Regions from separate parts of the Mus musculus genome. Here all the other regions are reported to be linked to region 1. The links are microRNA targets in miRTarBase. Many come from high-throughput screens and were not tested one by one. Region 1 holds a microRNA gene; each other region holds the end of a gene's coding sequence. Distances are between the middles of the regions.

Evidence for each region. Region 1 holds the annotated microRNA mmu-miR-466f (ACGUGUGUGUGCAUGUGCAUGU, at 3,552-3,573, shown strand). A microRNA usually pairs through its seed, bases 2 to 8, with sites in the 3' UTR of a target mRNA and lowers its output. Matches are read on the target gene's strand: a 7mer-m8 pairs with bases 2 to 8, a 7mer-A1 pairs with bases 2 to 7 and ends in A, and an 8mer does both.
Region 2: miRTarBase lists Kank2 as a target of mmu-miR-466f. Seed matches in the 3' UTR shown: 7mer-m8 at 1,274-1,280.
Region 3: the mRNA of Mcidas is a reported target of mmu-miR-466f. Seed matches in the 3' UTR shown: 7mer-m8 at 4,371-4,377 and 7mer-m8 at 3,461-3,467.
Region 4: miRTarBase lists Ceacam1 as a target of mmu-miR-466f. Seed matches in the 3' UTR shown: 7mer-m8 at 439-445.
Region 5: miRTarBase lists Rfx3 as a target of mmu-miR-466f. Seed matches in the 3' UTR shown: 7mer-m8 at 2,492-2,498 and 7mer-A1 at 321-327.
Region 6: the mRNA of Zfand2a is a reported target of mmu-miR-466f. Seed matches in the 3' UTR shown: 8mer at 1,125-1,132.

The regions. Positions count from the first base shown.
Region 1 is chr13:71,103,557-71,108,646 of GRCm38, forward strand. Mir466f-4 (microRNA 466f-4) reads left to right here and starts at 3,533; the gene lies at 3,533-3,653. It overlaps Gm40997 (a long non-coding RNA gene), which reads right to left and starts at 2,871. Exons shown (of 3, transcript XR_873655.1): 1 at 2,792-2,871.
Region 2 is chr9:21,764,446-21,769,524 of GRCm38, reverse strand. It overlaps Kank2 (KN motif and ankyrin repeat domains 2), which reads left to right. Exons shown (of 12, transcript NM_145611.4): 12 at 521-2,752. The coding sequence ends at 574. Among named protein-coding and RNA genes, the nearest start is that of Spc24, 6.7 kb to the right of the region's middle.
Region 3 is chr13:112,998,816-113,003,815 of GRCm38, reverse strand. It overlaps Mcidas (multiciliate differentiation and DNA synthesis associated cell cycle protein), which reads right to left. Exons shown (of 7, transcript NM_001037914.3): 7 at 3,422-5,000. The coding sequence ends at 4,632. Among named protein-coding and RNA genes, the nearest start is that of Mcidas, 7.4 kb to the right of the region's middle.
Region 4 is chr7:25,459,045-25,464,134 of GRCm38, reverse strand. Ceacam1 (carcinoembryonic antigen-related cell adhesion molecule 1) reads left to right here. Exons shown (of 9, transcript NM_001039185.1): 9 at 235-2,433. The coding sequence ends at 354. The region is part of intron 4 of 4732471J01Rik (RIKEN cDNA 4732471J01 gene); the gene reads right to left. Among named protein-coding and RNA genes, the nearest start is that of Ceacam1, 16 kb to the left of the region's middle.
Region 5 is chr19:27,764,273-27,769,362 of GRCm38, forward strand. Rfx3 (regulatory factor X, 3 (influences HLA class II expression)) reads right to left here. Exons shown (of 17, transcript NM_011265.3): 17 at 1-4,421. The coding sequence ends at 4,183. Among named protein-coding and RNA genes, the nearest start is that of Gm35697, 98 kb to the left of the region's middle.
Region 6 is chr5:139,469,111-139,474,200 of GRCm38, reverse strand. It overlaps Zfand2a (zinc finger, AN1-type domain 2A), which reads left to right. Exons shown (of 7, transcript NM_001159908.1): 6 at 406-471; 7 at 647-2,985. The coding sequence ends at 662. Among named protein-coding and RNA genes, the nearest start is that of 3110082I17Rik, 11 kb to the right of the region's middle.

The DNA.
Region 1 (5,090 bases):
AATGCCAACTGTAAAATGAAGAGCAGCAGAATGTACCAAGAAAAAGAAAATGAATTTTCTGTAACCAATTTAAGTGCCATATTTAGACATACATTATATATATATATATACATATATATATATATATGTATATATATGTGTGTGTGTGTGTGTGTGTGTACATACGCACACACACACACAATCTTAGGCTCTCTGTAATCTAATACTTCCTGTGAGAAAATGGAAGCCTTAGCAGCAGGTACCAGAGCTCATCTGACTAGGCTGCCAGAACAGTGTGGGAGATAGATGGCCGAGAGGGAAAGAGAGAGAGAGAGAGAGAGAGAGAGAGAGAGAGAGCGGTTCATGGGGGGAGTCAGGGATAGACTCTGAGACACTTTAAACTGTTATAAAATTATAGTAATAGTAGACTAGGATTGGCTCAGTACAATATTACCAATTACTTTTACTATTAAAATTGTTCAGACTTTAAACATGTATTCTTATGGAAAATATTAGAACACAGGAGAACATTTAATTAATAATTTGCCCTAATGTCTGAATTTCCCTATGGATGTATATACCTCTCTCTCTCTCTCTCTCTCTCTCTCTCTCTGTGTGTGTGTGTGTGTGTGTGTGTGTATGTATATATATATATATATACATATATATATATATAAATCTTGAATCTTTGTCATATATTAATATTATTAAATATATATTATACTTGTAGTGAAGAATCTATTGCCAGAGCAAAAGGTCCCTGAACTGTTCAAACATCTTGAAAACACTCGGGTTCTAGAACACAGAAATCATGATGGTGCTTTAGATATGATCTGTTCTAAATCCAGACAGTTTTATAAGCTGGGATGCTTTGCTTTCCTCTATGTGCATGTGTGAGAGAACGTATTCCCTCCAACTCCTAGAAGGTGTATGTTTGTCTTGTAGGATGTGGCAGAGTATGTTCATGCATAGGGCACATAAATATTAATATTGAGTTGAGAGAAGGCAGTGAAGGGGAGAGCACACCCCAGTGAGAAGCCTGCTCCGGCTCTAACCAGCTGTGTAATCGCCCAGAGATGCTCAGCTCCTGAGAGCTTCCGCTTTCTCAAGTGCAAAATTTGGAAATTAGGCTTAGGACTTTGCAAACTCCTTCTCCGGGTCACAGGCCACGGGTGCCTTGAAGTTAGATCCTTCACAGAGCAGTTGCACCACGCCGGGACAGCCTCCTCCCACCCTGCAGTTTAAATTGAGAGAGATCCCTGGATCTTTTCCTTCTGAGTCAGCTGGGAAGAGAGAAAAATAACGTGGAGAACCCTGTGGTTTCGGGAGGTAATTGTGACAATTTCACGGGCTGTTTGGGAGCAATCGTTTGGTTTCCCTGGTGCTTCAGAACATTTGGGGGCTTTCCTAACGTGCCTGCTTTCTTTTTCGTCCTCAGAGTGGCTCGATGCTCTAATACTCGAATTTAGAAGACAGATGAACAATGAAATAAGCGAGACGGCACTGCTTCCTTCATGAACTGTAAATGAGGAAAGAGTGAACGCTGTAATTGTGACTTGGGTTCCTCTGGATTACACTAGCTCCTCTTCCTCTCGTGATGTCCAGCTGCCCTGCAGCGCCTGGGAATTTACTTAAAACATGCATTCAAAATCTTTATTAAAATACATTCAGCAACACAAAATCAAACGGCTCATTTCTCTTCTTGCCTCTCCCCCCTACTGTAAAGCTAAATTGGACCGCGGCCAAGGTCTCTAAAAAGCACTGTGGCTTTTAGGGAAATCATTTTTCCTTTGTGAGCAGCGGGGAATTTCACAGACCCCTTTGCTGGCCTCAGCGAAGGGGAAACAGTGTCCGTGCTTCCGAAGGCGGACGCTAGGTGGCAGCCGAAGACAGCCTTTGCCCCGTTGGTGCACCGCAGCTGCCAGGGTGCGAGGCAAACATTCTTTAACAGTTGGAACCAATAAAAATCAGCTTTTCCTCTTAATTACTGCTAAGTGAATACCTTCTGATACAGCAGTCAGATGGCAAAGCTGATTACGGAGCAGGCAACTTGCGCTTGAGAGCTAGAAGTCTCTAGAGTGAAGTTCCCTTAAAACCCTTCTCATACCTGAACCGTGAACAGCATTGCTGAAGTCGGGGGAATCCCAACTTCAAAGACAGAACAGTGGATCTGACCTCCTGAGTAACCTCCTTAAACCTGAGATTTATTTAAGGGGAGTGGTAACAGGAAAAAATAAAATAAAATAAAATTAAAACAATCCAGATGCGCTGCAAGTCCTTCCTCTGGAGAACGTTGGCCTTAAGTTTTCTGTGTTTTTATTTTTCTTTGGGTAGGGTCGGTGGGGAGACAGGGGCCTTTTGTAGTCTTGGACTCTATATGAATTTGAGACAGTCTCTGCCACCTGAGACTTGTCCCTAAAACACAAACTAAAATGCGGATAGTGCCTTCCTCCTTATTAAACACATCACTCCAGGCAAAACCCAGGCAGCCCCAACAACACAGCTATTGTGCCAATGGGCAGAACCATGTCTCGAGCAGCGAGCAGGGGCATTTCCCCAGTATCGAGCAGTCCTCGTAGCTTCTGATAAATTATGCCCATCACTCAAAGGTAACAAAAAAAACCTTCATGCAGACGGGAGGGTCATGGAAATCTAAGGACAAATAAACACTTCAGGAAGGGTCTGGGGTAGACAGAGATCTCAACGGGACTTGAAAAATAAGTCTCAGTGAGCCCTTGTCTTCCCATTGCTGTAAAGAGACACCACGGCCAAGGCAACCCTTTTAAAGGACATTTAATTGGGGCTGGCTTACAGGTTTAGAGCTTCAGTCCATTATCATCGCAGCAGGAAGCATGGCAGCATCCAGAGAGGCATGGCGCTGGAGAAGGAACATACCTTATTCTGAAGGATGCTAGAAGACCAGTCTTCCAGGCAGCTAGGAGGAGTGACTCAAAGCCCACCCACACAGTGACACACTTCCTCCAACAAGGCCACGCCTGCTCCAACAAGGGCACATCTCCTAATAGTGCTACTCCTCGGGTCAAGCATACTCAAACCATCACAGGCCTCCTTAACAGAAAATGTGCAAAGTATGTCCTGTTCAATGCTAGGTTTTGATTGACATACATCCTCATTTCTGAGACTGGGCCTAATAAACAAACGTATGATCCAATCACATTACGTGCTAAGTCCTCTCCCTCAGCTCCTGATGTTTTCCAGGGGGAATGCAGGGTGTTTACAGCTACTGAAGTAGAGTTGCAACATCTTGTTACAACTAATTAAATAAGCATCCTGTTTCTCTAACTCCTGTTGCTCAGAGCCCTCATTTTGATATTTTATATCCATCCACGTTTGAACAGTAAATGCCCACCCATGTCCTCATGGCCAAGTGCAAGATTCTGTTTGCCAGTGCCCATGAAGCTGTGGTTAACATTGTGTGTGTGTAGGTGTGTCTGTCATCCTGTTTATCTGTGTGTGTGTATGTATCTCTGTATCTGTTCATCCATGTATGTGTGTATCTGTGTATGTGAGTGTATCTGTATGTGAGTGTGTGCATCTGCATCTGTGTGTCTACGTGTGTGTGCATGTGCATGTGTGTGTATCTGTATGTGAGTGTGTGCATGCATGTGTGTGCATCTATATCTGTGTGTCTACTTGTGTGTGAATGTGCATATGTGTATGTATGTGAGTGTGTGTTTCTGTATGTGAGTGTATGTGCATGTGTCGGCATGTGTATGTATATGGGTATATTTCTGTATGTTGTATGCACATGTGCATGTGTGTATCTGTGTATGTGCATGTATGTGTGCATGTGTGTATCCCTGTATGTGACTGTGTGTGTGCATGCGTGTGTGTGCATGTGATCGTGTGTGTGTGTGTGTGTGTGCGTGTGTGTGTGTGTGTGTGTGTGTGTGTGTGTGAGTGTCTCCATGTATTTGTAAATGGGTATAGGTCAGACCCTGGGTGTCTTCCTCTGTCTCTTTCTATTTGTTTTTATGAATTGGAGTCTCAGAGAACCTGCTCTTCACCCATATCAAGACTGGCTGACAGGAGGCCCCAGCATCGCTCCTCCCAGTACCACTCAGAGCTAATGTTACAGATGGGCCGCCATGCCTGACTTCTGAATGGTGCTGGAGATCACAACATTGGTCCTCAGACTCGAGGACACTCACTTTCCCAACTGAGCCATCGCCCCAGCCCCTGACTTGTAATTTTTACATCGCATTTTAATCTAGACCTATATCATAAAGTATCTGACACTTCCTTCTAGTTTTATATTTCATTGTTATATTGGGCCCCAGTGGGTCAATTTTCGCAAGTTCTTTCAGGTACAGTTTGAAGCTGTTTTATTGAACCCTGTTGTTGACAGATGAGCCTGACATGCCTACCCTGTCTTTGCTGCCCTATCAAAAATCAGCTGTAGGCGTGTGTGTCTGTGAATGCGTCTCTCATGAGCACACAGCGACTGTACAGAGCGAGAGGTTTCATTATAGCTTTCGCTCATGTGACACAAAGCGCTGTGGCACACCCACCCTCTTCTGGGTTTGTTTCTCGCACTCTCTTCCGCTTACACATTCACAGGGTTTTCCTCTCCTGCTTCACATCCGTTTGTTACTCCTGTTATGTGCACATGTGCACATACAAAAAGACAGAGAGCCTGTCTGTGATGACTGGCTTGTTTCACTTAGCGTTGCTATGATCTCCACCTTTAGACATTTTCCTGCAGACATCCTGACTGCATGCTACATGATTGAGTGAAACTCCACTGAGTCTTTTCTGTAGCCTCATCTGTTGATGGATGCCTGGATTGGCCGCATGAGTCAGCGATTGCCCATGCAGGTATGTGTGGTAGGCTGATCTTCACTCGTTGGCTGTATGCCCAGAAGGGCACAGCAGGATCACATGAACGACAAACTCTTACTTCCACTGAGTTCATAGTGGCTGCTCCAGCTCATGACCCCACCAGTTCTTTACCAGCATTTGCCTGCTTTTCCCTTAGAGCAGAACCGCGGCTCTCAATTTTCCTAACAACTGCGACCCTTTAGTACATGTCCTCATGATGTGGTGGCCCCCAACCGTAACATTATTTTTGTAGCTACTTCGTAATTGTA
Region 2 (5,079 bases), not on the chromosome of region 1:
CTCTTGAACCCTCTGCATTAACATTCAATTGCTTAAAACATTATTTTGGGTTTTGTTTGCTTTTCAAGGTAAGTACATTTCACTATATTATGATCCTCCTCCAGCTGGGGTGTGAGTTTGGGCAGGCCAGGATTACACTGTGAGATCCTATCATCTGTGTGTATATATGGAGGGGGAGTGGGCCACTGTCCACCCCCACCCCCATCCCATTTACTAAGTGGCTGGGATCACTTGACAGACTTTCTCAAGGCCCTCCAGTCCTATCTCCAGATAGAGCCTCTGCCCTGGCCCTTCTCCCAGGCGCTCTCCTTGATCCTGGTGCAGGGGTCTCCCTCTCTTGTTCCTGGACTCCGCTTTGATTCCTTCCTCTGCCTTCTCTCTACAAGAACAGGGTGACAGTCTGTCACTGTGTCTGGTGTGTTGGAAGGCAGGGACTACCCTTCTTCCCTCTGCATCCACAGCAAATCTCCTCAGAGGGATTTGAAAGTATGCCAAGAAAGAATTCTGCCTATCGTTACAGTTCGCTCCCATGTCAGACTACGAGAGTCCGGCTTCGTCTTCAGCCGAGGAGTGAATACAGGGAGGAGCCAGTGAGTCCCCCAGGACCCACCAGCCACAAGCCACGCATCAAACCGTCCCTCCTCCATCCCTCTGTCCCATTCTGCCTCGGCATTCCTCAGCCCCTGAACTTCCCTGAGGGAGCCCTGACATCTACCAGGCTCAAGCTCCTGGAAGCCTTTCCCAGCACCCTGGGTTCAAAGCCAGAAAGCCAAGCTACATTCTCCTCCCAGTTGGCACCAGTTGACAACGCCTTGGGTGTGGGTTTCTTGTAAAGAACATAGAGAACAATCAGCCGGCAATTATGGGAGGAGGAAGGGGGGGCAAGAAGAGAAAATACTGTATTCTTGAGTCATTGTTAGGGGATGGGAGGGGTCAGAATTCAGTTGCTAAATTTGAATGTCACTGGAATGTTACAGTGTCTATTGTCTCCTCATCTTTACAGCAGGTCTCCACAAAGCCTGCTCACCACCCTTTGTCACCTCATTTCATTGTCTAGTGTACAATAGGGTCTTGTCCACTGCCCTCCACCTCCAGACTGTGTCTTCAGGGCCTGGGGTGTCTCTTGTGATTGCTTTACAGAATAAGATTGCCGTACCTTAGCCGCCTGCCTCCAGTCAGAAAGCAGTGTTTTCATTTGCCTTTTTCCTTTCTCTCTCTCTCTCTCTCTCTCTCTCACACACACACACACACACACACACACACACACACACACACACACGCACGCGCGCGCGCGCACACATGCACAGGGCTTGTCATCTTGCAGCTGATAGCTGATGTCCTGTGACTTGGAAATGACCAACTTACAAGAAGTTATGCTGACCTCCCTGTTCCCCACGGGGAGTGCTTGGCAGAGGAGACTACTTCTAGAAATACTTTCAGACCTACAGACAAAAAAGAAAAAAGGCCATTCCGGAGTGACTCCCAGCATCACAGCCCAGAACCTCCTCCTCAAAGGAGAGTAAACAGAGACTGTGATACTGACCAAGTACAGGCGCTCGCTATGAAGCCCATATGTTCCTGATTAAGAGCTGGCTGGCCTCAGAGCACTCCCAGAACTAGCTTAAAGTGACAGGCTTTGCTGAAATCCAAAGGGACAAAAGAGTAGTTTTATGTTTGTGTGTTTGTTTTTAATGCCCTGGAGCTCCTGCTGGTGACAGGAGAGACAGACAGGCTGCACCTTTCTCTAACTGGGGTTCCTTTCTGGCCCCAGGATCTCAGTGTGGTTCGTGGGGGGATTTTGTTGTTGTTTCTTTGTTTCTTTTCTTCATAAAGAAGAAAAAGGAAACAACTTCTAGATGTGCCTTGCGATAGGGAGGACTTTGTCCTCTCAAGTCTCCCTGTCGTATCCAGATCACAGCTGAACCCACTGGGCCTTGGCGCCAAACCTCAGCAGGGCAGCATTGAGACTCATGGACTAAAGGAAAGTGTTCACTCTTCTAGACAAGTGGGTCTCTTGGTTTGATGGAGTCTTACTCCGCTTGAGTTTTGTAGAAGGGGTTTGTCTAAGGCATAGAGGCTTGGTTGGCATAAGAAAATAAGATGGACAGATGGATGGGTGGATGGATGGATGGCTGATTGAGTGGGTGGGTGGGTGGATGGATGCATAAATGAATAGATGGATGGATGAATGAACAGATAGATGAATGGATGGATGGACAGGTGGGTGGATGGATGGGTGGACGGATGAGTGTGGGGTGGGTGGATGGATAAATGAGCAATGGATGAGAAACTGGGTTGGCTGGTGGGTAGATGTCATGATGGAGTCTTTGCACGTGTATGAAACAGAAAACCAAACTTCAGGACAGACAGCTGCTGGTGTCTCTGGATGCTCACAGCCTAGGGCACATTTGAAAGGTCGTGCTCTGAGCTGAGCCCTGAGTTCCAGCCTTGTAGCCAGCAAGGGAGTTTATTTAAGGTTCTGGAAGCATCAGCTATGACCCAAAGCACACGCTCCTCAGAAAAGCCCCTGTTTCTGTCGCTGCTGCTTTCTGTTTCTCTGTCGGGGCCACCAGGGCCAAACACCCACCAGTCTCTCCTCTCCTTCCCGCTATACTCCAGTTTTCTTTCTACTCTGTGACCACGGTACATCCATGAAGACAGTGTTACACGTAAATGAAGTATTCTTTTCTTGTAATCATATTTTAGAAAGTAAAAGGACTTAATAAAGCTACAAATAAAAACATTGCCTCGTGTCTGTTTGTTCTCCTTCTTTTTAGGCTAGCCTTGAACTCCTGATCCTCCTGCCTTCCATCTCCCAAGTGCTGGGATGACAGGCACGCACCTCCACACCAGGCTTTCTTCCCTAGGAGGATGAAAGCCGGGGCCTTGGGCATGCTAGACAACCACTCTGATAGCTGAGCGCCAGCCTCAGCCTGGATCTCTGGTTGCTTAGCACGTACTTTTGTGCAGCAATTGCATGCACAAGGGGACAGTGCCATGCAGCTCAGGAAGACTCGAGACGCACGGTCCAGCCTTCTCCAAGCAGCAAGAACTTCTACCAGCTCCACCAAATTCTGGGAACGGAACTTGGGCCCTCTAAAGAGCAGCATGCTACACGGTCCTACCTGAGCCATCTCTCCAGCCCCACTCTATTGAGTCATTTATTTTAGTTAAACACGGGCTCATTTAGTCCAGGCTGCCTTGAACTGCTGACCCTCCTGCCTCAGCCTCAAGCATGGGGATTACAGGCGAGCCTGCACCACCAGGTGAAGATCCCTAGTTCCTGCTCATTATTGTTTTCAAGTTTTGTTTCATTTTGGTTTGGGGGCGGGGGGGGGGGGGGGGGGCATTGTTTGTTTTGTTTTGTGTTTTGATCTTTCGAGACAGGGTTTCTCTGAGTTCTCTGTTCTCCCTCTCTCCCTCTCTCCCTCTCTCCCTCTCTCTCTCTCTCTCTCTCTCTCTCTCTGTGTGTGTGTGTGTGTGTGTGTGTGTGTGTGTGTGTGTGTGTGCCTGGAAGTGAAAAGAGATCCTGTTCCCCTGGAACTACTGGAACTAGCAATACAGACCTCTGTGGGCTGGGACTTAAACCCAGGTCCTCTTCAAGAACAACCAAGGCTCTTAGCCCCTGAGCCACCTCTCCATCCTCACACTTGTCCGGTTAAGGTGGTGCTGAGGATGGACCCCAGACTTTGATGAGCTAGGCAAGCGCTCTGCCAGCTGAGCCGAATCCCCAGCCCTGCTGTAATTATCTCTTTGTTTTGTGTGGCAGCATGTCACGATGTGGTATGGAGCTCAGGTCAGTCAACCTTGGTGGTGCCTTTTCCCACAGAGCCATCTCACCAGCTCCAATGCCCCCTTTAAAACAAACAAACAGGGCTGGTGAGATGGCTCAGTGGGTAAGAGCACCCGACTGCTCTTCCGAAGGTCCGGAGTTCAAATCCCAGCAACCACATGGTGGCTCACAACCATCTGTAACAAGATCTGACGCCCTCTTCTGGAGTGTCTGAAGACAGCTACAGTGTACTTACATATAATAAATAAATAAATCTTAAAAAAACAAACAAACAAACATACAAACAAACATAAACACACTGGCTGCTCTTCCAGAATACTCCCTGGGGTTCAATTCCTAGCACCCACCTGGTAGCTTGAAACTGCCTGTGACTCCAGCTACCCCAGTGCCTTCTGACTTCCTGGGTATGAGGCAGGCATGAACTGCACAGACATAAATCCAAAAATTTTTTTTTTTTTAAAGATTTATTTATTTATTTATTTATTTATTTATTTATTATATGTAAGTACACTGTAGCTATCTTCAGATGCACCAGAAGAGGTCATCAGATCTCATTACGGGTGGTTGTGAGCCACTATGTGGTTGCTGGGATTTGAACTTCGGACCTTTGGAAGAGCAGTCGGGTGCTCTTACCCACTGAGCCATCTCACCAGCCCAAATCCAAAAATTTTTAAATGTTTATTTTATGTGTATAAATGTTTTGTCTTGAGGCCGGGCGTGGTGGCGCACGCCTTTAATCCCAGCACTCGGGAGGCAGAGGCAGGCAGATTTCTGAGTTCTAGGCCAGCCTGGTCTACAGAGTAAGTTCCAGGACAGCCACGGTTACACAGAGAAACCCTGTCTCGAAAAACCACAAAAAAAAAAAAAAAAAAAAAGTTTTGTCTTTCTGTGTGTTTGTGCACCTTGTGCATGCCAGGTACCTATGAAGGCCAGAAGAGGGCATCAGATCCCCTGGAGTGAGAGTTACAGACAATGGTGAGATGCCAACTCTGGTGGGTTCTAGGTCTTGCATAAGAATAAATGCTTTTAACCACTGAGCCACATCTCTAGCCCATAACATTTTTTATGAAATGGAAAAAAATCCATATGTATACAAAGTCCACATATCATTAAATTGTCCATTTCATTTTTTCCTTTTGGTGCTAAGAGTGACTAGTGCATAGGAGCTCACACAAGCTAGACACGGGCTCTACCCTGAGACCCAGTTCCATCACCGGCACCATTTGAAGTACCTAGTTCAGTGGCATTTAGCTCATTCACTGTGTTGTGCAACCATCTCCAAAACT
Region 3 (5,000 bases), 42 Mb from region 1:
CACAATAGTCACAAATAATATAAAATACCTTGGTGTGACTCTAACTAAGGAAGTGAAAGATCTGTATGATAAGAACTTCAAGTCTCTGAAGAAAGAAATTGAAGAAGATCTCAGAAGTAGGAAAGATCTCCCATGCTCATGGATTGGCAGGATCAATATAGTAAAAATGGCTACCTTGCCAAAAGCAATCTACAGATTCAATGCAATCCCCATCAAAATTCCAACCCAATTCTTCACTGAGATGGAAAGGGCAATTTGCAAATTCATCTGGAAAAATTAAAAAAACCTAGGATAGCAAAGACTATTCTCAACAATAAAGGAACCTCTGGTGGAATTACCAGAAAAGACATGAATAAACATAAACGTTTAAAAAACAAACAATCAAAAAAAAAAAAAAAAAAAACAGATGCCGGGCTTGGTGGCGCACACCTTTAATCCCAGCACTCAGGAGGCAGAGGCAGGTGGATTTCTGAGTTTGAGGTCAGCCTGGTGTACAAAGTGAGTTCCAGGACAGCCAGGACTACACAGAGAAAACCCTGTCTCGAGAAAAACAAAACCAACCAACCAAACAAACAAACAAAACCAAAGATGCAGAAGTAAATGCACATGTGTGCAGGTTCGTTCATGTGTGTTCACATATGATGATGAAGGGCCACAGGAGGGAGGGAGGAGATCTTAGATAAGGAAGCGGGCAGAGGAGTGCATGTGATAGGAAAGCAGAACCTAGGATTATTTGCAGGTCGGAAGGAAACCAGTAAGAGAAGAGGGTGGGAGATGTGTGGGGGACGAATAAAAACAGGACACAACAACCTGTATGAAAATGCCATAATAAAACCCATCAGTTTGCAAGCTAACTTTAAATTTTCACTTATTGTTATTAAAATGTAACTATAACTGGGTGTGGTGGTGTGTGTCTTAAATCCCAGCCCTCAGCTGGGTAGGGGGGCAGAGAAAAGTGGAGCTGTGTGAGTTCAGGCCAGGCACGTCTACACAGGGAGTTGAGGCCAGGCATGTCTACACAGGGAGTTCCAAGCTGGCCAGGGATATTCAATAAGACTATCTAAACAAACAAACAGACAAACAAACAAAACAAAACAAAAACAAAAAACTACATAGTTTAGTGAATCCTTGCCTAACATGCAGGGAAGGCCTCGACCTCCACCACTGAGGTAAAGTTAAGGTGGTCATGTGACTCTTCAGCAGGAGGATGCCCCTAATGAATTGACTCAGGATGATCCCAAAGTCTTCTCAAGGTCCTGAGAGGCCGTGCTAATCCTCCACTCAGAGCCTAGCCCTGTGTTCTCTCAGCCCGAGTCCCACTAGCAGCCTACTGCTCACCAAACCAGACGGTTACATATCCTTTTCCCTCTGCTTAGAATACTCTCCACCCAGATATGCATACCGTTCACTCGCAAGCTTACTCCGGTCTCTGCTGAAGTTGTCTCTTGTTACGATTTGATGGCAGATCTGGGAACCAAATCGCTGACCCCAACCAAGCTTGCCAGACAAACACTGTACAGACTGATCCATAACAGAAGCCCTCCAATATTACCTTATTAGAGGAATCTTTTATGACCAGACCACCTCATCTAAAATAGCACCATCCCAGTCTTCCCCAAATCGCCATCTGCTGTGGACTCAATACCTAGGCCTCCCCCAAATTCCTATGTTTAAGTAAGTCTTAGTTCCCAGTGTGATTGTATTTGGAGATTGGGAGGAGGGAGCGGTGTGGTGTAACATCAGTAGTGGGGTTAGAGCTCTTCTAGGAAAAGACTGGAACTCTCGCAGCCCTGTGATCTTTCCAGTGAGCAAATGATGATCTTCAAACCAAGAAAGGGAGCCTGTGGAACCACCTTGATCTTGAACTTTCAGACCCAGAACTGTGAAATATCTGTTTAGATGGCTCAGCGGTTAAGAGCACTGACTGCTCTTTCTAAGGTCCTGAGTTCAAATCCCAGCAACCACATGATGGCTCACAACCATCCGTAATGAGACCTGATGCCCTCTTCTGATGTGTCTGAAGAGAGCTATAGTGTACTTAGATATAGTAATAAATAAATCTTAAAAAAAAACAATCTAACAAAATAAAACAGAAACATTTGTTGCTCGTGCTCCCCGCCTATCCTGTACTGCAGCCTGAGCTGAGACCACCCCCTTGTCCTTTTTCATGTCCTTGCCAGCACTTGAATTGTTTGTCACATATGTATCTCTGCCTAGAAAAGAAATTACATATTCTGCTCTTTGATTGTTTTCTTAGAATGTGAGATAAAGAGATTGCCATCAGTTTTCAATAAATATGTTAGAAGACTAGTTTCTAGATTCTACTGTTAACTGATGATAAGTTGGTCCCTGGTGCCAATTGTTCCAAAGAGAGCTTTTTTTTCCCACAAGAATGAAAGATAATTGGACTTGATGGGTTTTATAGAAGAGGAGGAGGAAGACAGAGTTAAAATGGGGTAAGGAGTGGGGGTGGATCTCAGTGGAGTTAGGGAGGAATAGGAAGTGAATTTGATAAAAAATACATTGTATAAATATCAATTTCTAAAAACAAATAAAATATGTACTTTTTAAAATAGCAGGAAATGGAGCTGCTGGCCACTAGCATGGCAGTTATAGAACTGTAAAGTGAAAGGTGATAGCAAGGTGATTATTTAAAATCTACGCACAGGGCATAAAAGAAACTTACATACACTGTCTGTAGTTTATGGCCACTGAAGGTAATGCATTACGAGTATCAGAGAGCAGGAGAGCCATTGTTCGTTGTGACAGATTTAAAAGGATTTGTTTTTTATTTTGAAGCTTGTTTTGTTTGATCTTGACCTGTGCTAACTGCATATTTGAGCCTATGGGGGGGGGGGAGCTGAACAACCCACGTTTTCAGTCCATTTGTTAGGCAAAATATGAGGAAACATGGTCTATTTTATCAATTTTTTTTGTTTCGAAATGGCTATTTAAGTACAGATAACAGTACACACGGCAAACTGGAGGAGCAGGTCTTGCTGCCTTAACCAACCCACCTGCTACCTGATCTGTGCACTCAGCCTGAAGAGCCAGCTATGCACTGTGGTGCAGTACATCTGGAGGCCTGCCCAGCCCAGCCCCAGGAGCAGGAAGAACCCTCAGAACGAGCATGTGGAGGTTGAGAGAAATCGCACAGGACGTCCTCCATTTGTGTGATTTCAGAACAGAGTGTGGGGTGGGAAGAGAACCACAAACAATAGGGAGAGAAAAATTGAGGGAAGGTCACTACATTTTGCTTACAAGAACTAGTCATGTAATGTGAAATATGGTGAGGGGCCCCCAGTTTGCGGAGTACAGACCACTTGCTTAAAACAACCAGCCTTTCTTCTTAACTAAGTTGGTTTGGAGGTGGTTCTGTTTGCACTGATAAAGCTGAATACATTGAGACATTACCATAAATCCTTTTGTAAAGAATTTTACTTATGTGACTGTGCCTGTGCGTGTGTGTGTGTGTGTGTGTGTGTGTGTGTGTAGCTCCGGAGTATACAGATGCCCACAGAAACCAGAAGAGGATGATGTCAGATAACCACACCCCCACCCCAGGACTGGAGTTTCTTTCCCATTTGAGCCATTGATATGGATGCTGGCTGGGTTCTGAAGTCCAAGCCCTCTCCAAAAGCAGCAAGCACGCAAACCAACTCTTACAAAATCATAGGATGATTATTTCAAACAACTGTGTTTAGCACCTATCCTGCATCAGCATTTGCCTAATTGTGTAGCTTTGCTTGGTTTTGTTTCTTTGCTATTTAAGACAGGGTTTCTCTGCATAGCTTTGGCTGTCCTGGAACTCACTCTGTAGACCAGGCTGGCCTGGAACTCAGAGATCCGCCTGCCTCTGCCTCCCAAGTGCTGGGATGACCACTGCATCCTTGTGTGAGCTTGCTCCACAACTGCCAAGTTGTTTCCGGAGTTTTGGTGGTGGTGGTTTTTTGTTTGTTTTTGTTTTTTCCAACTGAAATAGCATTTTCCAGTAGTTAACACAGCTAGGAGGTAGGTGTACTCTGAGGACAGAGGGGAATTGGGTGATGTGCCAAAACACCCAGATACCGGGGTTCTGAATCCCAAGCCTTTAAATGGCTGTGATTGGATAATTCCTCTCTAGTGGAACCCCCCATCATTCCTTTGCACTGTTCTCTCTTCTTACAAAAAGGCTAAAACAGTCAAATATGGCGGTGAGCACCTCTAACCCAGCACTCAGGAGATGGAAGCAGAAGGAAACAGAAGCAATCATAATAGCAAGTCTGTGTCCAGCTGCTCTATGTGCCTCCTGGACCTGCCTCAAACAAACAAAGCGCTAAAAAATAAATACATCTAAGTTTGACTGTGGCGTGTGCTTAGCCGCAGGTGTGCGTGTGTATACACGCAATTTCACCGTGCAAAAGCAAGCAGTATATGGGGCTTCGGAGCAGAACTTTTCATTGCACAGGTACCAAGACACTTCTGTTTCTGAAAAAAAAAAAAAATATATAATAAAGTTTCCGAGTAGCGTTTGCTTGCAGAGAATTCTGGGAACCAGATGTGGGAAACATTTCTAGCTATGCCCACTTGCTTGCAGACGCTTCTCTCTGCTGTTACACAGGGCAGTATTTTAGGGGAAGCCACATCCCAGATCAGCTGGGGACCCAGCGGAATTTGTAACCACCGGTGACTGTCCGGATGGTGAAGGCTTTGCCCTGGGGGAAAGCCAGGGTGCGGATGGTACTGTGGCTGCGGATGGGCGTGCTGAAGGAGCCGCCTTCCTCCAGCTCACTGTGACTCAGATTCACCGAGCTGGCGCTGCAGTCGGTGCGCAGTCCTCGGAAGGCGCCGTGGAGGTTCCTGGAGCTGCAGTCCTTGCTGTCTGGCTCTGGCTGCAGCCTGGGCCGCTTAGGGTCACGATTGTGCAGGGCTTCCTCGCAGCGCTGGGAGATGTCTCTGAGGATGGCGTCCACTTCCGCGCAACCCTGCCCTGCTTGCCCCGCAGCACAGAACAGCTCCTC
Region 4 (5,090 bases), not on the chromosome of region 1:
AGTGGGAACTTTCACAAACCTGTCCTCCTCCCCAGACACACATTGCTGTCACATTTCCTACAGAGGGCAAAGGCAGTCTGACAGTGCACATCCTCGCACACATCTGGCTTTCATTCTGCTCTGTAGCCCATCTGGATGTCTGACTGTGAGTGACAGGAGCCCTCTCCCACCGCTGCAGCAAGGTGAGGCTCAGGCCTGTGGTGCTGAGTCACTGATCAACTCTCATCCTTTCAGGTGGATGACGTCGCATACACTGTCCTGAACTTCAATTCCCAGCAACCCAACCGGCCAACTTCAGCCCCTTCTTCTCCAAGAGCCACAGAAACAGTTTATTCAGAAGTAAAAAAGAAGTGAGCATAATCTGTCCGTCTGTCCTGCTGGCTGCACCAGTGATGCATTCCCGGATTCTGTTCCTCACTGGAGGGTCTCAGCACACACACACACGTACACATGCGCGCGCGCACACACACACACACACACACACACACACACTTACACACACACTCATGCATTCACTCTATTGACTCCTTCAGTGTCTATAGAAGAAAAGGTGGATCCTGGAGCCTACAGAAAACTCAACCCTTCTAGGCTTTCAAATTTGGCTGAGAGTGAGGTATCAAAATTTCTCACCCTTTCACTTTCCTGACCCAGATTGTTGAAAATTGACCTATTCAGAGCACCTTCATTCCCCTCCCAACTCCAAGTCCTGCCCTATCAGAGTCTGACTTGAATTTCCATAAACCTTGGAGGTCACCTAAGTGCTTACGCCAAACAAAACAAAACAAAACAAAACAAAACAAAACAAAACAAAACAAAACAAACCAGAAGCAGGAAATGGCCAGTCCCATATCTTTAAAGGCTGATTGGAAGCCACCATACATGAGAAGATCAAACCTCCATGGGCAATCTACACACCCGACAACTGTCATGCTTACCCATCTGGGACATTCGAGTCTCTGAACCTTGTGCCCTCACGCCTGAGCCCTTCTCTGAGCCTTTCTCCAGAAAATCCACTCACAGCAACTAGAGAGGCTCTTTGTCAGCAACTCCAAGCAAACTGCTAGGCAGGATTCAGAAGAAAAGACAGCATCTCTAACATCCACCAGGAAGGTGCCCAGAAAAGCAGAGCTGGTGACTTTGGACTGACAGACATCTGGAGTGTGAAAAAGCAGCACAGAGCTAACCTTCGGAGAGTGTTGAAATTATTTGAAAAGAAGCCATATTTGGAGGTATTGGAGTTTTCCTCTTTCTGAGACAATCCACTATTTGAAAATTGTAGCTACTGAATTGCCTCTCAGTATGCGAGCTGATCACTTTGCCTTAGGGCCACTAGATTTCTGTCTCCCTTAGCCCCTCAAGCCCTTTTGATCATGAGTTCCAAACCAAAAATAAATAAATGAACAGTGAGGCAGTCCCTTGCAGTACCACTGTCATGGGTCAGGCTAAGCCTCCTGCTTTTCTGAATTAGTCAAGAAAAGCCTTGGTTTCCCTTTTTCCATCTCTTTATCTTGTCTTTCAGATACTGGCCAGAGCCTGGACACTCTTCCTCTGAGATCTCCAGCTTCTCTGCCTTCTTGTGTTTCTTTTAAACTCTAACAAAAACTGTTCTCACCTTCAAAAAATAAAATAATAACAAGCTTTCCACATCCCCACCAAAGAGGGACCCAGCTAGGTTTCTGGAAACCCAGCACCAGCCTCCAGCTGCCCTTCTGCAGTGTTTCTGCCTCTGTTTCCCTTTCGTTTTGACTTTTTTCCTTCTTTTGAGACAGAGTTCCAGCATGGAGCCTGTGCAGGTTTCAATCCCACAGTAACACCTTCTGCAGCACCCCACCTGCTCAGACTGCAGCCCTGGCCACCAGGCCTGGCTACCTGGACATTCTGTCTGCCCTGCACTCTCAGGAAACCTTGGCCTCTGCTACTGTCTGTTTGGCTCATTCAAAGTGTGTCCTTAAAGGAATGCAGTCACCCATGCCAGAGGCAGTGTTTACAGCCTGGAATGCTCTGCACTTCCAGTGGACCAGTGCTCCACCGGAAGTGGGCTGTTAGCAGGGTCCTCTCACCTGGCCCTGGCCTTTCTGTAGCCTTGAATCCTGCCTTCCCCACCAGGGCACCAGGGATGAGTGCAGCAGCAGGAGGAGAGGCAAACAGTCACCTCAGGAACCTTCTGAGCTAAGGCACACCCTCTGTGCCTGTCAAGCAAAGGTTGTATTGGATATCAAGTGTTTGGTCTCACGCCAAGCCAACAGGCTTTGGAGAGAATTAATTAGTTCTCCTACTCAGGGATTTCTTTCAGTCCTAACACAGCCTGTGTATATTTTGCTTCACCCACGCAATGCTGGATTATTTAATTTTGCCCGGCTTAAGACAAATCTGAGTTACTTGTAAATTTGCTCTATGTTCATAATAAAAATGTATTATATATCACTGATAGCACTTTGTGGGGTTTTCTGTCTATTTGTTTCTGGTTTTGCCATGCTTTGGATGGAAGCCAGGGTCTTGCATGTGCCAGACACACGCTCTACAACTGAGAAACTGACACAGAATACTAACAAGAAGGGAACAGGAGGTGCTGGAGAGAGTTCAGGGGGAGGGAACATGTGGAGTTGTTTGTGAGTTGAAAGCTGCATTATTGCCTTTGAGTGTCTGGAGCCACTTGGGTGGGAGGAGTGGTTTACTGTGGTGGAATCCCCAAGGCTTCAGCCACTCAAAGGCAGTACTGCAGCCCTCAACTCAGAACAATCTCCACACTGAACTCTCTCCAGAACCTCCTGTTCCTTTCTTGTTACTACGCCCTGTCTGTCCTCTTAAACCTCTGACCTGAATGAGTTGCACAAATTAATGCCATTGAGTGTTACTCTATCATTTCATGTCCTTCATTTGCAAGCCATGCAAATGCAAGTGTGGCCTGCCCTTCCCCACCCCATTTCCACACCCGAGACACTGGAGGCAGCGCAGACTGCACTGGGATGGGGTCAAAGGTGTGCTAGCCTCACATTGAGTTTTCCATCATCTCAGACCTCGGTCAGAGATGCTGCATCCACCACCAACAACATATTGCCCTGATGCCAGTCAGTTCTCAGATGCTTTCGGTGTCCCCTAACCCACCCTCCGCTCAGCTCGAAGATCTCAGCCAATGGCTGTTGCATGTATTTCTCAAGCCCCTACCTCCTCCTGGAAGTTATAGCACCTGCCTTCAAATAATTTTTCATTTAAAAAGGCTCATGGCCCTCCGCACAATAATTCCTTTATTTTACATTTATTTTATGTGTGTGTTAAAGCTGTTTGTTTTTTAAACAGAGTCTCCCTATATAGCCCTGGCTGACCTGGAACTTCATCTGTAAACCAGGCTTCCCCTAAACTCACAACAATCTGCCTGCTTCTGCCTCCCAAGTGTTTGAATTAAAGACAGGAGCATCAGACTGGGTCCCCTAATGGGTTTTTTTCAACCATACACATATTGTATGTCAAGTATGTTTTCACTTCCCCATCACACCCTCAAGTGATTCCTAAATTCTCATCAGATGTATCCCCTACAACCCGATCCCCTCTAGCCTACGCACACATATAAATCTTCGTCCCAGTGCTGTGCCCAAGACGACAAGCAGCATGCTTCTCCCTTGTGGTTACCCACACCCTTCGTCATAAGCAGTTCCACACTGAGCATCCAAGTGAGGACAATAGATTCAAGCAGGACACAAACTGTGTGTGGTTGACAATGTCTCCCTGATGGCCAATGTATATTTTCATGAAAGATACAGAAATGAGAAGATGGGTCCTTTCTCTAGGGAACAGAAATCCCTAAGACAGAAGACACAGATAATAACAATTATACAAAATTTGAAAGGGACAAATGTCTCAAACAAGACAGAGAAGTTAAGAGCTGAGGGGGCAGCTCAGAGACAAAGCACCTGCCCAGGAGGGTGGGGCTCTGTGTTTGATCCCTAGCACCAAAGGAGTTTACAGAGAAATCTAATGGAAAACAGAAAATATGGCTACATGCTGGAATCATTGAGAAATCTGTTAAAAGTGCTCAGGCCCCATTCACAAACTCTACCTTGTGAGGGCCCCTCTCTGTGTGGTGTCTCCAGGACTGTGTAGGTGGAGAGAAGGTATGAGTGACACCAAGCATATTTCATTCCCTGCTTCCTGAGTGTGGACAGGATGTGACCACCTGCTTCAAGCTCCTCCTACCTTTACCCTCCCACCATGATGGACTTGAGCCATGGGCCAGAATAAACCTTAAGTTGCTTTTCTTGATCTCTTATCACGTCAGTGGGAAAAGAAACTGACAAGGTTCACGATGGAGGCTCCCTGACAGAGTAGGTAGAAGCTGGGCTGTGGCTTTTAGCTAAGGTTGTACATCATTTAGGCAATTTTTTCAACATGCATAAATCTATAGTCCATTCCTGGGGAAGAAGAGACAATATGTTCATGGGACTTGGGTTTGAATATTTTGGAAAACTCTCAAGTGATTCTCACAACCACTGACCATCAGGAAACAGTCGCCTGAAGCGCAGAGATGGAGAAGATTAGAGGGTGAGAGAGAACTCAATGCGACAGCCATAACATGCAAGAGCTGTTGTTCTTCAAGGTGCAAACAGAAAGGTCCTCAGGAAGAAATTGTTGACAGATGACAGATAGCTATGTTTTAAAGACTGACATTACCAAGTGTTGTGAGCAAGGGAATGATTGCCATGCTCACAGTGCTGTGACATTAGGCACTGTATGCTCACAGATATAGCTGTCTCTTGTGAGACTATGCTGGGGCCTAGCAAACACAGAAGTGGATGCTCACAGTCAGCTATTGGATCACAGGGCTCCCAATGGAGGAGCTAGAGAAAGTACCCAAGGAGCTAAAGGGATCTGCAACCCTATAGGTGGAACAACAATATGAACTAACCAGTACCCCCAGAGCTCGTGTCTCTAGCTGCATATGTATCAGAAGATGGCCTAGTCGGCCATCACTGGAAAGAGAGGCCCATTGGACTTGCAAACTTTATATGCCCCAGTACAGGGGAACACCAGGGCCAAAAAGGGGGAGTGGGTGGGTAGGGGAGTGGGGGGAGGTTATGGAGGACTTTTGGGATAGC
Region 5 (5,090 bases), not on the chromosome of region 1:
GGGCTTTTCTAATACTAGAACTAAGCGCTGAATCAATGCTTCAGTCCCAGTCTTTTAAAATCACCAGACTCACAGAAATACTAGGGTTCTGTTAATGAGTTTGTTCTACCATGTACATGGAGGTTGTTGCTCTGATCCAGTCACAGCCCGATGTTGAACAACACTGCATTGACAACCTTCCTCCCCCAAACTCTGCTGTGATCCACGGAGATCAGAAAAGTCCTGATTTTAGTTTCTGGATGATCGTGATTTGTTCAAAAGAACTTGAGGAGGGGAGGTTATGACAAAGTCAGTATGTTGTCTATAACCACTGCCTTAACTCGTGTGCAAGCGTAACACGTCAAGCTTTTGACTTTCTACTATGTCCATGCAACGAGGACCATCACAGCGACACACGTGTTTTCTTTCACACAGATGTTTCAAGCACAGCATTATCTTAGACATTTTAAATAATAATATTAATGATAATAATGTGATAATAATCTTTCCAAACTGAAAATGCATTTAGCACTTGTAGAGAGTGTGTCCATGTAAAAAGGCCCAGGACCACAGCATGGGAGCTGTGCTCACTCCTGACTGACGTCTACAGCATTCTGCAAGAATGTGCTCATTCTCGCTCACCTACTACAAATTAAAGGCAGCTAATGTTGCACACTACTAACTTTAGGTATGCAGCGAGAAAACCATTTGTGTATTTTACTTCTGTTTTTAAAGTACACCATCTAAAGAGAGGTGCATGAACCGTGCTATACAGTACAAGGAAAAAAGTCACAAAAAGGAACGCAGATTTCAAAAAAGGCAGTAAGAGTCATACAGTCAAGATTTGGACGCAAGTCCCGAAGTTCTTAGTAACTTGGTAAATCCAAAGGGGAAATATAAAACTGGGCCCTGTGTTCCCAGGAGAAGTTTCACCCATTTCATCCATTGTTCACTGGTTTTGGAAGTGTAGCTCTTTTGGCTATAATTCTCAAAGTATTTGCCGATATAAAACTATACCTATGAGACTCAAGTGTATTACATGGGAATCTCCTCTGAAACGCACTGATAGCTCATGCACCTCCCTTCCCTTCTCTGTACCAGGAGTGTAGTACTTGATTCACATACATGTATTTCAAGACAGGCATTATTATAATGCCAAGAAATACCAGCAAGTCCTTAAAAAGTGTGTTGTGTCAACACGTCTACTACGAGACTGTTGGTGGCTGATATTATTTAGAAAAGCCAGTTTCAATAAATGGAAAAACAGAAACAAAATGTTAAATAACTAAGACAAATGTGATTGTTATAAATTTTGCCTGCACATAAATTACTGTTTTTGTTTTCTAATATAGTTCACAATTCAAATCCAAAATTGATGTGTGCACAATATACTACAAATAGCTAGAAGTATCATAAGCCATGGGTATTCTTTTTTGTGTATTGGTTAGAGCTATCTACACTGGTGTAAAAGGATTAATGTTCCTAAATATTTCTAAAAGTTCAGAATATTTTGGAGTCAATTTCAACCATAACAATACTTGTTAATTTCTACTCTGTCCTAATTTGGAACAAACCATGAACAACTGGAAGAAATGTTGAATTCTGGAGGGCCATTCAGTCCCTCCCTCTCATGAATCTATGTCTGTCAATTGTTAGCTGATTCCTCTCATGATACAAATATCTCCAAAATTAAATTAAATGAAACAATGATACAAATACATTTTAAAAAGTCAACCAATAAACACAGTGAAACCAGTAAATACATTTGGTCCAATACAGACATGATGTCGTCTGGGGTGACAAGGAGGGACAGGAGACTGAAAGACCTCAGGAGGGAGAGGCAAGATGAAGAGAGCTAGTTTATGATTTGAATTTTATGTGTAAACATTTTCTAACTCACAATGAAGTAGGTCCATGGTCTTTTGTAGCTTATGATGGATGATGGAGGGGAGGGGCTTGCAAATTCATTGCCTTGGGATCTTCAGTAATGAAGTAATGCTTGGATGCCAGTGAAGTCTTGTGTGTGAGTAGGTTGATCCATACAAAATCTGAATCCATTAAAATTATATGTAAGACATTTAAATTTCACTTAAGAAATGCTGTTGATTTTCAGAAGTTTGAGACAATCAGGCAATAACAGTTTCAATAGACTGTGTTTCCTGATAAGCCATTTGCTATTTTTAACTTTCCAGATTGGCACAGTCTCTTCTCCTTAACTATACCCCTCACCCAATCCAACTGGAAAGATGAAGTCTTCAGCTTAACATGGCCTCAGTAGTGATCTGTGTGTCATTTTGTGCTTTCCTTTCCATTTTTTGGCTTTATTGACTTAATTCCTTATTGACTTGCACTGATTTAATTTTATAATTACTTAAATGAAAGGCTATGCCCCATGTTGTTGCTGCTGTTGACAGCTTGAGTTAAAAGAACCTTGGCTTTTCATGCAAAGTAAAATGGGATGAGCTGTGCTCTTTAGGATCTCACCTTCTGACTGTAGCAGACTCCAGTTCCACGTGTGTGTGTGTGTGTGTGTGTGTGTGTGTGTGTGTATGTATGTGTGTGTTTGTGTGTACACAGAGACACCCAGACACACAGACAGACATTTAGACTGAAAAGATGCACTTCAATAAGTACCTGCTAATCCTGTTAACTTTCTAGAATTATAGCTAAATAAGAATGGTCTACAACACATGATCTTTATGTAACATGTTTGGATGAAAACTGCTAGTCCACACCCTTAGCAATCTGATTTGTTATAAAGTGATATTCAGCTCCAAGGATAAAACCTAGACAAGTCCACTCACAGTCCCTCAGAGAGAAACTGAAGTTTTTGTCTCTTTGTTTTGCTTAATTTCCCCTAAATTCCCCTTGAAGAACATGTGACCTGTCTTTACTTCAGGAATCTGAGCATGACAGGCACACGTTACCGAATGGATTGAAGAGTTATTCACACAAACAAAATAAACCTTACTAAACCTTAGCTCAGTTCTGTTTTAAGGCACCATGTAATAGCCGAGGTACGATGATCCCTGATGTACGTTCTCCAATGGCAATGGTCCATCCAGCCACCTATCCAAATCCTACAGAGTCGGGGTCAGCAACAGTGAGGTGTGCCAGTCACACTGCCTTCAGGTTCTGTGTAAAATTTAAATCCATGTATTTTAGAAACCAGGAAATAACAATATGCAGGTCGCTACATTCCTTGCATTCTATACATTTTCTTTTATAATAGCAGCATATTGAACTACTATTAGAAAAAAGACCTGGAATAAAAGAAAGTCATCCAAATGGAATGGTTTCCTGTATGTCCAGCTCAGTATAAGTAGCATGTACACTTAAAAAAAAAGTCAAGTCATTTTTTCAGCTGCAGTATCTAACTATAACAGCCCCACTTAACAGCAGAATGCATCTGTACAGTGGTTCCAATACAGAATCAGTAGTCTTTAAACAGAGGAATTGGTACACAAATAATAGTTAAAAGTCAATGTCTAACGGAAGCTTGCATTGTTAACGTGGTTTAATAATTATGTACACAAATTATGTACATATTAGCATAATCTCTTGCAATTCTGTCATTTATCCTGAACTGATAAATGCACAGCTCAATTTTTTTCAGAGAAAAATAGATGACCTTCCCAACCCTCTACCACTATAATAAAAACGCTCTGTATTCTCTCCATACTCCAAAATGTTATCAAAATAGTGTCTTATGGTTCTGTCCAATGAAAAGCACCTTTCAGAAGCAAATTTGATGCATCTGCTGCCAAATGGGCATGCCTCCAGTGTAAATCAAAGAAATTCATTTCTTTTGATATTTCACAGAAGTGCATCTAATTAAAAAACTTACACATAAAATCATACACCAAGACTAACAATCAACAATAAAATATTTTAAGCTACAAAATGTAAATTACTTTTTAATTATGAGAAAACAAAAACAATGACATTAAGTGTTGTATAAATCCTTCTTGACACCTGAAACTAAGGGGGGAGGGGCTCTATTATTAAAAGGCAAATAATTTGTGTTAAAAAAAAAAAGACCTGGAAAAATACATACACCCATTCCATTTCACAACTCCAAAAAGGTAATGTTCAGCACAGATAGACTTTTGACAACAGTCAACCTTCAGGCTTGTTAAAATTTCAGCTTAAGCCCAGTATCAATGGGGTTAGAGTAAGCTGGAAAACTCTGCTTTCCTGCTGTTAGACTGCAGTGTAGGTGTTGCCTGTGGCGCTGCACTGCCTGATGGTCTGTGTACTTGTGACGATGTGCTCGCTGTGTAGGGGGTTCAGGAGGCTGGGCTGCACAGCACTCTCCAGAACAGGCTGCATGCAGCCTACTGGGAACGCCTGGCTCAGCTCCGTTTTCTCCCTTTTGGCCCGAGGCTCTGAAGAATCATCCAGATCTTCATCCGTCTCACTTTCGACTTCGCTGCCTTCATCTGCACAGACAGAGACCAGCAGGAGACAAAAGAGAAACAGACGTCAGTGCACGCTGCCGTACCGGCTCAGTGCGCCAGCTCGCTCTGAGACCTCCGTGCTCCCTACGGGAGGACTCATAGGCTTTCCTCTCATGGGAATTTATATCCATCAGTGCCATAGTGAGAAATCCACAATTCTTTTAGATGTCTGGAAATTTATATATAATTTCTGTATTAAATAATGGCATAATTTGTTGCATCATAAAGGAGTCACTTGGGGGTGGGGGCACACACACAAATCTACACCGACTACGTTCTTTCCTCGATGACTTACTGCAGCTGGGCCTGTGCCATCCCAGAGGAACTACTGCAGTATGACTTGTGATATCACTATTGTATAACAATTGCTGTACAGATAGCAAACACCAAATTGAATAAATTCTTAATTCATATGCTAAGAAAAAAGCTATAATGAAGTGGTAATGTGAGATTTAAAAATGGCACAAAGGACTTGTTTCTTGGCAGGATTAATACCATAAGTAATTGCAATTCATTCCTAGAAATTAAACATATAATACATTTACTTTTACTACCAAATTTTAAAAAGCACACAAAACTTCACATTTCACTTGTAGCCTTGGGAAGCCCGAGGATTAGGGGTAAACAGAACCAGCTGAGCCCCATCAGAAA
Region 6 (5,090 bases), not on the chromosome of region 1:
CTCTCATTTGCTGTAGCATGTGCCAGGCTAGGTGACTGGAGAGCTCCCGCCTCCACCGTCATCCCCCTGGGATTGCAGATACTCACTAGCACCTGACCTTTACACGGTGCCAGGAGTTCAGACGCGTCCTCGGGCTTGTGCAGGTGTCCACTGAGCTGTCTACCACCCCTTAAGTCACCATTTATTTTTAATCTTGCATTGGGGGCAAGAGTATACACATGCGCTGTGGCATGCATATGGAGGTCAGAGGACAGCTAAGATACTTTTTAATTCAGTTAACCTTCTCAAACTGTCTGTATGTGATCCGGGCTGGAGCCCAACTATCTAAGTGCATAGACATGAGTGGGTGGGCTCTCTTGATGTGGTAAGAAAGTTGAATAACTGTAAATCTGACTTTCTCTGTAGGACTTCTACATCCAGAGCTGCTGAGCAGAAGCCATCGGGAGTCAGTTGGCTGGCCCAGCGGCTCAGGTACTAGTCCCAATGGCATGTGAGACTCAGGCTGTGCTTCCATAAGAAAGGCCAGAGCTGGCCACAGTAGCTATTTTTAGAATGTCCTGTGTTTCCTCTAAGGCTGTTTCTCATGACAGACCTCTTCTAGGTAGTTCTGACATGTGTGGTCACTCACGGATTCTGTCTCTTCCAGGCGCACAGTGAAGTGACAGCGAGTCTCCTGTGGGTGCCACACACCAGCTCCTTCCTGTTGGATTTTGATCTTGGGACGTGTCCTCCAACACTTTTCCTGCTTCTTCTGCATCTGAGTCTTTATAGAAGAGTCTCCCATTGACTGTTCAAGTTACGGTGAATTGATGGCTCAGTGGGGAAAGCACTTGCCCCACAGGCATGAGGACCTGAGTTCATCCCCAGAACTGGATGTGACTGGTGTACACTTGTCATCTCAGCACTTGGGAGGTGGTGAGAGGAAAATCTCCAGGGCTTTCTGACCAGCAGCCTAGCCATATTGGAAAGTTCCAGGCCAGAAAGACGCTGCCTCAAAAACCAAGGTGGACACTTTCTGTGGAGGGACATCAGAAGTTCACCTCTGGCCTCACACCCACACCCACACACCCACTTGTGTATACACACACACACACACACACACACACACACACACACACACACACACACACGAGGCTGTCCAGCAACTTCTTGGGGTGGGTTAGGTTACCATAGCAAACAGCTGCAGGGTTCAAGGCCTGAGGACTTGCTTAACTCTCCTCAGTGGTGGCTTTGGCCTGTGCTAAACCTCTCCAGGACTTGGTATTCCAGAAAATTCTGTCCTGTGACAGAAAAGAACCACCGTCTGCTCTGTATTCTCCCCTCCATGGCTTTTGTAATAAGGTGCCTTTGGGCACAGTCTACTCATGGTCCCCAAGAACAAGAGTGGACGGGGTGCCCTTTCCTTACCTCTGGCTGGGGATGCTATGGAGGAAGGGTGTGCACTTGGCCTGCAGTGATGTCTCCAAGGTTGACTTAAGCAACCAGCCTCACCATGCCAGGACTCCGCATGCCTGGCTTCAGGCTGTTTTGTGGTTTGAGGCAGTGTCTCACTGTGGAGCCCTGGCTGTCATGGAACTCACCCTGTAGACCACACTGGCCTTGAACTCAGTGATCCCCCTGACTCTGCCTCCCAAGCGTGGATTCACTTTTAACTCCCAAGAAGAGCACCAAGAAATGAGAGCCATTTCAGAAATGTCTGGTTTTGCCATAGAAGCTTCTCCTCTTCGTGCCGAATCCCCATGGCAGCAGGCTGAGGGTGTCCTCAGCACTTTGTGGAGCAGAAACCCAGACAGAAGAAAAGCAGTGGTTCTGGGCCTTGGGGTGCAGCCACCATCACTCCTGTGCCACCTGTGTGGCCTGAACCATGTCTACCCCCAAATGGCCATGGCAGTGTAGGGGAAGATGCTTGGGGTACTCTGGTGACCTGTATAAGCGTTTACCCTCACTTTCCAGGAGCTTGGCTATTAGAGATGACATGGGACCAACCACCCAGCGGGTTTTGACTTTCGCCCTTAGTTCTGACAGCCTTTGGGACAGTTAACTGCATGAATTCCATACATAGCAGCTTTGTGCAGGGTTCGTGGCCTCTAGCTGTCATGGGAGGCAGGGGTGGGTTCTACTCACTCTGTTCTCTAAGCCAGTGCCTCTCGTCACATCAGTCCAGCTCTAGACTCATCGGTGCACTCATCCTGGCCCCAGTGCCTGGTTAGATCGGGGGGTGGGGGGCTGGGGGGGTATTTGCTTTTAGAACAAGGTCTAGGCAGTGGTGCTATGTGGGGACATTGAGACAAACCAATCTTTTGTACTTCCACTTCCCAGCACTCTTTCATGGTGGTACACACTTGAGGTATAGCTAGCATAACAAAGCTTTTGATTCAACTTAAGTTTTAAAACTACTGGGTTCAATAATTAGGCAGTGTTTAAAAGGGGAGTTGGATATATACGTCTCCGTCCTAACCATGGTATGCAATAGTGTTTCCACTGAGATGACTCTAAGTTGGAAATTAAAAGCACACTGGGCGGGCTGGGGAATGGTCCAGTGATTAGGAGCCTGAACCTCTCTGCAGAGGACCAGAGTTTGGTTCCCAGCACCACCCATATTAGATGGCTCACAACTATGTGTTAACCTCAGCTCCAGGGGCAAATGATGCCTCTGAGCTCTGGGCCTTGCACTCACATGCCCATGTTCTTAAACATGAATTCGGAAGTACAGTGGCAAAGGTTAGAGCCTAGCGTTGTGGGTTAACCCTTACCCAGAGCCCACCAGTGAGGAGCTGGGGCCACAATTCAATAGAAGAGCACTTGCCAAGAACCCCTCGGGCCTGGTTTAGTGGAGTACCTGCCTGTCATGTCATCAGGCCTCAGATTCTCTCCCTACTGCAAGGAAGCAAAATCACCAGGCTTTAGAGACAATATCAAATGCAAGACATTGTGTGTTGAAATATCTTATGTATAATGGTTAATAAAAATTATTTATTTCACCCATTTTTTATTCTAGACAGTTTCTCTAAATAACCCTCACTATCCTGGATCTCAACTATGTAGACCAGGCTGGCCTTGAACTCAGATTTTCTGTCTATACCTAGGATCAAAGGCGTGCACCACCACTCTCCGCTTGTTTCATTTGTGTGTGTGTTTTGCTTGTGTATGTGTACTTTGTTCATGCAGAGGCCAACTTTTCTTAGAAAATATGGATAATTCTTTTCAAGGTCTGCATTTTGTGTGTGTAGTGCAGGTGTGTTTGCATGTTTGTACATGTAGGGGCACAGGTGTACACGTAAATGTGGAGGCCTGAGAATAACCTTCAGTGTCGTCCTTGGTCGCTTTCCCCTTGTAAGCTAAGGCAGAGACTCGCTGAACCCAGGGCTTGCGGCTGCAGCTAGCTCCAGGAGCCCCTGTCTCTACCTCCTGCGTGCTGATTACTGGAAAGCTGCCGTGCTTCCTGACTTTTGTGAGATTGGGGATTTGAACTCTGGTCCTCACACTTGTGTGGTGATCACTTTGCCCTCTGAGCATCAAAGCTCCATGTGCTTTTTAAAGAAAGGACTTAGCAGTTCCCCCTCCAGTGAGATTCTCTGTCCTCAGCTGCTCACACTCTTGTGCAGTTCCTTATTTGCTTTGGTGACTTCCCTTTTTGTTTTTTGTTTTTTGTTCATTTGTTTGTTCTTTCTTTTTTTTTTTTTTTTTTTTTTTTTTTTTTTTAAAGATTTATTTATTTATTATATGTAAGTACACTGTAGCTGTCTTCAGACACTCCAGAAGAGGGAGTCAGATCTTGTTACGGATGGTTGTGAGCCACCATGTGGTTGCTGGGATTTGAACTCCTGACCTTCGGAAGAGCAGTCGGGTGCTCTTACCCACTGAGCCATCTCACCAGCCCCTGTTTGTTCTTTCAAGACAGGGTTTCTCTGTGTAGTCCTGGCCGTCCTGGAACTCACTCTATAGACCAGGCTGGCCTCGAACTCAGAAATCACCACCACTGCCCGGCTTCCTTTTTGTTTTTATTGTTGTTTTGGTACAGTGTCTCATTATCCATAGCTGGCATAGAACTCTATATAGACGGGGTGGCCTCTGAGCTCACAGAGATCTGCCTGCCTTCTACCACTAAGAAGTGCTGGTGATGGAACCCATGGTTTCACCCAGGCTGGGCAAGTGAGCAGCTTCAGCCTCCAGCCCACTTTCTACTTTTGATAAACTCTGCTTCTCATCGGCTTGTCCTGAGATACTTTTCTGCATTGAAGCCTAAGATCTGGTTTTACCTGAATCAAGGTCCCTAAAAGATTTAAAGAAATTTGGGGCTGGAAAGATGGCTCTGAGCACTGGCTGCTCTTCTAGAGGTTCGAATCCCAGCACCCACATGATGGCTAGCAACCATCTGAGATTCCAGTTCTGGAGAAATTGATGCCCTCCTCTGGTCTCTGCAAGCACTGCATGCCAAGGTACACAGCATGCAGAAAACACTCATATACCTAAAATTATATATAAATGGTGGTGCATGCCTTTAATCTCAGCGTTTGGGAAGCGGAGGCAAGCGGATCTTTGTGAGTTCAAGGCCAGCCTGATCTATAAATCAAGTTTCAGGTCAGGAGAAGCCCTGTTCTGAAAAGGCACGCACTTGGGCCTGAGTGAGCAGGGCTGGGGCGAGAGTTGACTCAGCGGTTAAGAGCACCGACTGCTCTTCTGGAGGTCCTGAGTTCAAACCCAGAAACCATATGATGGCTCACAACCATCTGTAATGGGATCTGGCACCCTCTCCTGATATGTTTGAAGACAGCTACAGTGTACTTACATATATAAACAATAAATCTTAAGGGGGGGGCGCTGGTGAGATGGCTCAGTGGGTAAGAGCACTGACTGCTCTTCCCAAGATCCTGAGTTCAAATCCCAGCAACCACATGGTGGCTCACAACCACCCATAATGAGATCTGGTGCCCTCTTCTGGTGCGTATAGTGTATACGTACAGCTATCGTGTACTTACATATAATAATAAATCTTAAAAAAAGAGAAAAAGCACACAATTTTTTTTAAAAATGGAAATAAAAAAGATTTAAAGAAATTCCTTGGGCTGCTACAAATTAACAGAATGGAA